2 linked regions of the Arabidopsis thaliana genome follow. The protein of the gene in region 2 interacts with the protein of the main gene of each other region in a pairwise test. Each region holds a gene or a part of one and is shown on either strand. Other genes may lie near its edges.

Region 1 (5,727 bases), on a different chromosome or scaffold from region 2:
AGCCCCTTTGATCACATCCCGGTTGTCTCATATTGGTCGGACGCAGCTCGGAAATCACGCTGCTTAAGATGCCGGTATAAACGTATAATAGACATTTTGCTTCCCAATTCGTTATTTTGTTACTTAGAAGAAAAAAATCTTTGAAACCAAACAAAGAAGTTGCAGCACCATCTAGACCCGTGTCCTCGTGTGTCAGGTGAAAAATTCCAAATTTGTTATGAGATAGAATAGCGGAGATTATTACCAATGATTAGCTGGAAAACTAAAAAGTCTCAAATTCGTTTGTAGTGAATTGACGTTAAATTTATATATTTGTGGTCTTAATTTTTTCCATCATCAGCCGACCCTGGATTCAATTATGTTCCGGCTTCTGAGCAGCATCTCTTATATTTGAACTCGATTGATTGGTACAAAATATTAATGTCTTCAAGGTAAATTCTGATTGGAAGAGTAGTAATTGATTCTCCAGTAATAGAAAGGTGAAACAAAACGAATTAAAGGAGAATACAGTCAGTAGTTTCATAAATACTTAACGTCAGAAATGTAGTAGTACTCTTCATCACGTTCTTCGTATTAGCAAGTTACAGAAAGTGATAACCATTTGGACTCTTCTAATGAAATTCCAGCTGTGTCATGAAACTTTCTACAGTAGGACGAAGAAAGGAATCTAATGAAAACGTGAGAGAGTATAACATTGGTCTGAATTTTATACAAAAGAAGTGATAAGTTGCTACAAAAAAGAAGAAGGAAAAAGAAATAGAGACAAAAGCTGAAAATATACACACCCTCCAATCAAACCCAGATTCAAACGAATGGGTTAAAACAAGTAAAAGAACATGAAGATAAACATCCCCAAGCCTCGTCAACTATCAAAGCACACAATGCCAACAAGCACAAACCCTCTCTCTAACATCCATGAAATGGATTGTTAACAAATTAGAAGGAAATATCGAACCTCAAGATGCAATTTCCTCATTCCTCGTGAATAAATATACAAATAGAGATTTATATTCTCACATGTAGTCTTGATTCCTCAAGTACAATAGCTTCCTCGATTGCGCTGGAGGAGCTAATCCTGGGATGTCCCTAATGTCTTTGTTATTCGGATTCACGATCTGAAGAATTAATACAAAAACCAGAGTTACAACTTGCTAATGAGCAATCACAACTTTCAACAGAGAGAGAAAAGACAGTACCTTCACTATGATTATGGCTACTACACCGCATACAATGAGAAACAGGAACCCCATTATGCATTTATCGGTAGCCACCTGAAATAAGTAGACATAAGCATTCAGGTTTTGAGGTCAAGCCAAAAAGGATAAATCTACATATGTCCATATGAGGTTACACACCTGTCTCCCTATCTCTTTCACCAGCTGGGAGGCCTTCTTGATTGAGAATTGAATAGTGTCCAAGTGGTTAACTACGCGTCCCATTTGATCCGTCTGCAAAATTTTCAGGTTGTTTAAGACTCTACTCATAAGATTAATATGGAAGTAAAGGAGAATAATTTGCATTACCTGTCCCTTTAAATTAGCTGCAGTTTGAGTTCCAACTTCGAGTGTTTGTTCTACAACCTGAAAGGAACAAGAATGTTACCATAGATATATTCATATAGTAACAAAGGCTAAGGGGAACATAATTCCTTCTGTAACTTACCTGTTTTGAGCGCTCAATGGCCTGATCAGTCTCATCCATTCTTTTCATTCCAGCATCAACAAGCTCCTGGTTTGACATAGCTATACATAATAAAATGACAAAAGCCTTCATCAGTTTTTACATTCCCAATATAATATACTTCGCGCCTAATCAAATTATCAGAATCATTCATTTCTATTATCTAGGCCACCGATAACATTTCTAGTGCCATATTACCATCTGCCAGAAATTTACTGACAGACATCACAAATTATGCCAGACGAATAACCAGAGAGCATTAGTTACCAATCCAACATATTCAAGTACATATAGCATTAAAAAGTCTAAACTTCAAGCATGTCAATCTCTAATTGTTCTAAGCAAACTCATATTTTGGTGGCAACTGAAGACAAGAATGCATAAGGACTCACATGAAGCCACTTGAACATTTTCCTCAGCTGTAGGTTCGCCACTAACTCCAGCTCCCATATCAAAAAGCTCAACTTTCTTGTTGCCAAGGGTACTCATATACCTGAGATTCAAGACCAATTTCACATGTATGAACACATAAAAGTCAAATGAAATCCTATATAGATATTCTGAACGGATCGATATGAAATCAAAACCCTAAAAGAACAGGTTGAGATTCAAATAATCAGCTTTCTTAAAGAGGAATGATAGAAATACTAACGTTTTTCTTAGAGCAACGTAAGAATTGAGCTCCTTGATCTGTAACATTATACAAAAGAAAAAGTTAAACACAGATGTTAAAAAGTTCATACAAACAAAATGTTAGCAGATACAAAGTACAGAGGGGAGTGATAGATACACAATGACACTCAATATCCACCTTAATATATCCATTCGGTTATAAACACACCTAAAGATTGACCAAACTGAATACGACTGATGCTGTATAATGGAACTTTACGAAGGTGCCAAGTAAGAGTTAATATTCACATATTTACTTCAGATACATATGACATTGTAGTATAATCAAAGAAAGGCCTCAATGAATTTAATAAACAAAGGATAAAAACTCACCATAGATTGTTTCTCATCGTTCAATTGCTTATTTACTTCAGGAGAATTTCTAGCTTCCTCATCCTTGAGTTCACGGTCGAACTCTTTGACCAATCTGACATGAAGTACACATTAGACAAGCAAATACAGATTATTGAATCATGGATTTGTCACATCAATACTCTTTCCTTCTCAATTCTCATTATACGGCATCGTATCCAGCTCAAAGAAAAAGAAGTACGCATAACAGTGATCAAAGAGCACATTCTACTAAAGGCAATTAGCAAACAATGTTGTAACGCCGAGAACATAATGGTAAAGCATAGCAATTATGAAATAAGTATACCTTTTACACTCTCTCATCTTGTCAGTAAGTTCTTCAAGTTGTTTGCTTTGTCTAGTTGAATCCTTAATCTTATCCAACCTCTGGAAACCATTCCTGCAAAACAGATAATGGTGAATCATTAAAAGAACAATCTTTTGAGTGATGACTAAATCTAATTCTTATCATCAGCATTAAGCAAAACACGCATAAATCCTATTGAGCACACATAATCAAAAAATTCCAAAACCCTAAAATATATATCACAGTGTTTCGTAACCACGACAGAGATAGTTAGAAAATTGAACAAGAGGATAACATGTAAAACATACGCGAGGGCTCGGAAATGGTCACGGATTTCGCCATGGATCTGCTCCAATTGAGGGCTCATGGGGAGATTAGAAGCCATGTCGCCGGAGACAATTCAGAATCCGACGAAAATTTACCCAAAAACTACGTCACTGCATCTAAAATTTCCCTCCAATTTAAATTAAAACCCTAATTAGACAAAAACTGAAGTTAAAATCTCCAAAAAGAGAAAACACAAAGGAGAATGAATGAAAGACGAAACAAAGGACGACAAAGAACGGGAAAAGGGAAAGAGAGCTGTCAGGTGTGTGTTGTTTTTTTCTTTTTTATTCAAACATATATATTTTTTAAAAACAAAATTGATTAATAAATAAATTAAAAAGACAGATATTCGGTAGTTAAAAAAATGACAGCGAGGCGCCAACTTTTTGGTCCCATCCATATCCGTTGTTAGATAAATTATTTCACTTTCACTAATTTCACCTAATAATACTTTGATTATATTCTTCTAGCCAACAAAATTTTCATATTTTTCGAATATTTTAAGGATACAATGCTAGAATTCAAAATACAGTGTTACTTCGTTAGAATTGTAGCACTAACTAATCATCGTCACTAAGATCATCATCGTAAGGATCAAGGTTGTCTTCACCTTCACCGTCAACGTTACCAGATTCCATGTAAAACTTCTCCTCCTCTTCCTCATCGTCTTCATGGTCTTCCTTCTCTGCTCTGTCTTCCCCGTGCAAAGCCTCCTCCTTCACCAATAAACTACATTTATTAGCCTTTTATAAAATCACTGGAATGGCGTTTAGCGTTTCTCACTTTAAGTAAGTTAAGTACCTCCTCCTTCTCGGATGTTACGAGCCAGTCAGGGAGCAACCGATCCAGCAAAGCGTGGTTAAGAGTTGGTGGTGGTTCATCCTCATAATGTAGCCGTTGCTTCAGCTGTTTTTCTCTGAGCCGTAAGTTGTAATGAACGTATGTTAGATCTTTCGTTGATTTTTTCCCAAATTGGCTCTGGCATTGACTGTTAACTTGGTCGTACACGCTCCACTTAGGCTCACACCCAACAGACGAGCAAGTGTGGCTCAGTATCCGAACCGCCACTCGCTGGAGTTCCAAACAGCTTATCCCATGCTGTTGCCACCACGCCGATGGATCAAGCTCTGTTCTTGTGCCAATGGCTATATCCGTTCCAAAATCAGCTTTCGCACAAGTATAATCCGGAATCTGAAAACATTTCAACAAAAAGTTGGTTTAACCTCAGGTTCTGAGAACAATGTGTGTGACTTGGTGATTTGTTTTTTGTCTCACCTGCATCAATGCTGTGATTCTACGCGTGTTATCAGGCTCAAGCCTAACAATGCATTCGTTAACTCCACGCACAACCTCAGACTGCTGCAGATTCATTCACATTTACAGCAAATGTAAGGAAAATGGCAGAAAGCTTTTAGTCATTGATTCAAATGAATGATAATCATACCTACCGCCATAAAATCAGGACGATATTTGTATGCCGGGTTGAAGAAATATGCAGCCACATAGAGAGGATGATGAAACAATGGGTTCCAACGGTATTCTATCACCCGCCAAAACGGTCCGTATTTCCTTGCATCATCGCTATGAATAGACTTGATCGCCATTTTCGCACAGCACATGTAACCGTAAGCATATGGCATAGATAGTCTATCGCCACCATCATTGATCATGTGAATCACCTGCATCACCGGATCAACCGATTTCAAAACATACTGAACCTTCTTCCAAAACACAGCACTCAACACCATCTTCTCCACTTCTCTTCCCTCTTCAGACTTGGCGGCGGTCTGTGACAAAATCCAGCCGTCAGATTGAAACAGACCTCTGAGACTGGCCTTGTGGTCCATAAGACTTTGAAGAGTGGTGAACCCGGAAGCGTGGCGCATGACTGCTGGTCTAAGAAGATCTAGTCCCTGTGTGAATTCGTTCTTCATAAGATTAAGCAGCCATGTTTGATTGTAAATGAATCTTGTGATTCTTTGGGCTTTCTCTAAGCACTCGGAGACAAATTCTAGCTTTGAGAAGTCTTCAAGAACCAGTTCTGTGCAATGTATTGCACAAGGAGTCCAATACAAATTCTTTCTCTTCTCTTCAAGTAATTTTCCAGCACTTCTAAAGATAGCAGTGTTCTGTGTAATAACCTGCACCACATTTTCCTCGCCAATGTCGTCAACTAGTTTGTCTAGACACTTGAAAAGGCTTAAAGCATCTTCTACTATATCAGTGGCATCAATCGAGGAGTGGAAGTAGACACCACGAGGGCACGAGACCAAGAAACTGATCATTTTCTTGCCCTCTGTGTTGGTCCAAGTATCTGCCATTATGGAACAACCTGTAACCACCCAAGAAGATCTGTACTCCCTCAAGTAGCTTTTGATAGTTGACATCTC
Region 2 (3,378 bases):
GGAAATGGAGTATCGATTCTCAAGCTACATCGAGTAAATAAAGTACATCATCAATTTTCAACTTTGCATTAAAGTATTTACAAAATGTGATTTGTTTTGTCAGTAACACATAAGAGCCCTCGTGCATGGTAATACATTCCAATGAAGAATGAGTGTGTTCTTATTGATGACATGTGAGCATTATAAAGAAGAGAAATAGAGAGAAAAACTAAAGAAAAAATGAGTCGTCAAAACTCTATTGAGACATGCTTCTTTTATTGACTTAATGCCCAGATTTAAAGGTCCTATCTAGTTTAGTTTCGTCGATGTTACCATTTCTATATATGCAACACACGAGACAACAACTATGTCGAAAGTGAGGAGAGGAAGCAGTAACTAGGCATGAAAATAATGCAATTGAGACGAAATTAAGAGGCAGATCAAACTATAATAGATGTGCGATGCATCAATGTGTTAGACATAGAGGTCCTAGCCATGACGACAACTTTATCGATGAACTCATCCCGTCTAAACATTGGCGGAATTAGGAGGACTAGGAAGATCATATATTCCATCACCAAGGCAAAGCCCATCTATCCTCTCAACGAATCAAAATTAGATGGACTCTAACTTTTACCTGTTGATACATGCATCCTCTGCACAACAACGAACCACAAGAGGAGAAGCTACAAAATCTGATTGCTTTGAGTGCACCAATCACCTCTAGGATAAAATGGCAATCCTAGAAGCAATCATTTACAGCCCAAACCACAATAACCTCGACATAGCTTTGCAACAGAATAATGTCGCAGGGAAATTCCAGAAGCTAGATAGACAAGGAGCACCAATAACATTTTATAGGACAAGGTGTCTCTGAGGGATTCGAATGCAGCTGCTCCTAGGTTCATCTATCTACAAACCAATACATATACAACAAAGAAACCTATCAGACTGGTCTAATTGCAGCACTAAAGATTCCTTATTGCAACATCACTCACTCACAATCACAAAAATCTATCACCACAATTCCTTGTCTCAAATCTTATTGATCATCACCATCAAGTCATAACAGACAAACAGAGGCACATATTATCCTCAAACAGCAGAGAAATGCAATCAAATTACAGAGAAAAAGAGAGGGTTTCAAATTCCAAAATGAAGCCAGATCCAGAAAATAAAACACTAAAGTCATTCATTTGGAGAAACCACCACGCTTCTGGTAACTAGCAACTTCACCATCATTAGGGAAAAACCCCATGAGTCTACCGGCAGAGTTCTGGTACGCATACATGAAACCTCCCATGAGCCCGATCAATCCTCCAGTAACCATCGACGGTCCCTTAATCCCAGGCTTAATCCCTACAAAATCGCCATTTCCAAAAACACCAAATCAGCACATTCTCAACCTACAGAATCAGAAATTTCAAGAGAGAGGTGTGTGGATGAACCAGAGAGATAGCCGACGGTGACGGAGATGCCGGTGATAGTAGAGAAACGGAGGTAATCGAGAGTGCTGAAATTGCCGACGACTTTAGTAAAAGCAGGATTCCGATCAACCACTGGGTATTGTGCCTTCTCCAAGGCAGTGATGTCAGTATTCATCTTCGATCGATAAAATCTACAAATCTCTGATTCTATCTTCTTTCTTCTTCTTCCGATCAAAATCAATTTCTAGGTTATATTCATTTCAACAGAAGCTGAGATCCTCTCTTTCGTCTAGAGGCTTTTCTCTTTGACCCATAAACTTTCTTGGTTGGGCTTTCTCATAACAGACCCGAATGAGCCCATTTAAGTCAATCAAGCTCCAAACGATCGAAAATAGCAGATCTAACAACATGCACGATATAGTATTGAATAGTACTCGAGTTTTATTCTCTTAAAAATCTATCTATGATTGAGTGTCGACATTTTAGTTCTATCTTTCTCTATCTCAATTATTACTGACACATATATAAGAGTACTGAATCAAATACGATGCAAGTAGGTTTTGAACTTTGATTGACGATTTTTTGGCACGACTTGTATGATCAATTATTTACTATCTTTAAGAAAAATCGTCAAAAACAATAAGAAGCAAAGCTGCAAAAGCAGAGTTTTCAACATGCGCAAGCGGAGCCCAACTGAAATCAAATTTCAAGTCTGTCTTCTTAACCACTCCGACATCTTTAGTTATTTACCATGCCTTCGTTGGTGAAGTTGAGGTAGAAGTAGTTACGTATATATAAAAAGCTAAACATTACATGGATACGTATAAGCAAAGACTTGAGGAATGATATAGTAACCAATTAACCATCAACAAAAGAATAACCAATAAATCAATGAGTAGATCGATCTTTATCATCGTGATATAAAATATATCATAATCATTAACTTCGAAATAATTAATATATATGATTGCCATTTTAACCATACATATATCACCACCACCTAGAAGACTCTTTAGAAGAGCATACCGACGAAAACAAACTCTATATACATACATATTTAATTAGAACTTCAAAAAGATGGAGGAACAATTATTTTAGTTTTAGAGATGCAGAGACGTGTCAACATCGTCGTATCGATCAATCCCACCCATCTTCTTGTCATCTTTATTTGGCCACTGATGACAAAAGCTTGGCTTTTCAATGGATTCAGAGGTGGAGTGTGAGCATAAGGAGAGGGATAGGAGCTGCTGTGACGAAGATGTTTGAGAGTTTATAGGTAGAAACTGAAAGAAACCGAAACTAGTGGGTTCGCTGTAATATTGCAAGATGTTGTCTTGGTGGTTAGGTTTAGGGTTTAGGAGCTCTCGTTCAGCTCTTAACTCTCTTGCTCTCTGAAGTTGTCTGAATCTTTCTTGAAGCAAGACGATTGAAGAATGGATCACCATTTGTTCCTTTCGGTCTCTTGCTATTGAACTCATGACGTAATGATATGAGTCTTAGAGAGAGTCTTGCTAGGGTTTGGGGCCATGTTACGTGTGTTGAGCCTATTTATATAAGGAGGAAAAAGGTGTATATTATTTCTTATTATTTAATCTGCATGAGAATACTTTAAAAACAATAAAAGTATATAGGGTTGTTGAGTAGTTCGATGAAATTCCGAAAGGAAGAGAATCAGGAGTAAAGTGGTAAGAGAACAAGAGGAAGAAGGCAAAAGTGACAATCTAAGGATTGTAAAAAGAGAATGTATAATGTGTGAGTGGAAATTTGCATATTTTTATTTTTATTTTTAAGAAGCAAAAGAAAAAAAGTTGGCCAAAGTAGAAAATGGTTGGGAGGAAAATGACAAGAAGAATGTTTGAAGGGAAGCACATGGATTGGTTTGTTTGGATGATTATTGAGATATATAAACCCTTTTTTCATGCCCCCCACTTACCTCCCTTTAAGGGCTCTTTTTATTTGAAATGGAAACTTT

Evidence for each region.
Region 1: the proteins of AT4G16450 (region 2) and NPSN13 interact in a protein complementation assay, tested with the Arabidopsis thaliana proteins (one large-scale study listed by BioGRID).

Annotation. Positions count from the first base shown.
Region 1 is NC_003074.8:5,968,896-5,974,622, forward strand, and holds NPSN13 (Putative plant snare 13), read right to left. Parts: upstream 3,678-5,727; 5' UTR 3,396-3,677; coding exon 3,319-3,395; intron 3,104-3,318; coding exon 3,011-3,103; intron 2,780-3,010; coding exon 2,686-2,779; intron 2,371-2,685; coding exon 2,333-2,370; intron 2,174-2,332; coding exon 2,073-2,173; intron 1,743-2,072; coding exon 1,663-1,742; intron 1,581-1,662; coding exon 1,524-1,580; intron 1,449-1,523; coding exon 1,356-1,448; coding exon of another isoform or gene 1,352-1,355; intron 1,272-1,351; coding exon 1,197-1,271; intron 1,116-1,196; coding exon 1,014-1,115; 3' UTR 670-1,013; downstream 1-669. Other genes in the region: AT3G17430 (Nucleotide-sugar transporter family protein), read left to right, coding at 1-67; AT3G17450 (hAT dimerization domain-containing protein), read right to left, coding at 3,898-4,053, 4,139-4,528, 4,613-4,696, 4,786-5,727. UniProt on the Arabidopsis thaliana protein: Vesicle trafficking protein that functions in the secretory pathway.
Region 2 is NC_003075.7:9,278,335-9,281,712, reverse strand, and holds AT4G16450 (NADH-ubiquinone oxidoreductase), read right to left. Parts: upstream 1,805-3,378; 5' UTR 1,582-1,804; coding exon 1,428-1,581; intron 1,339-1,427; coding exon 1,172-1,338; 3' UTR 857-1,171; downstream 1-856. Other genes in the region: AT4G16451 (uncharacterized protein), read left to right, coding at 713-856; AT4G16447 (uncharacterized protein), read right to left, coding at 2,507-2,884.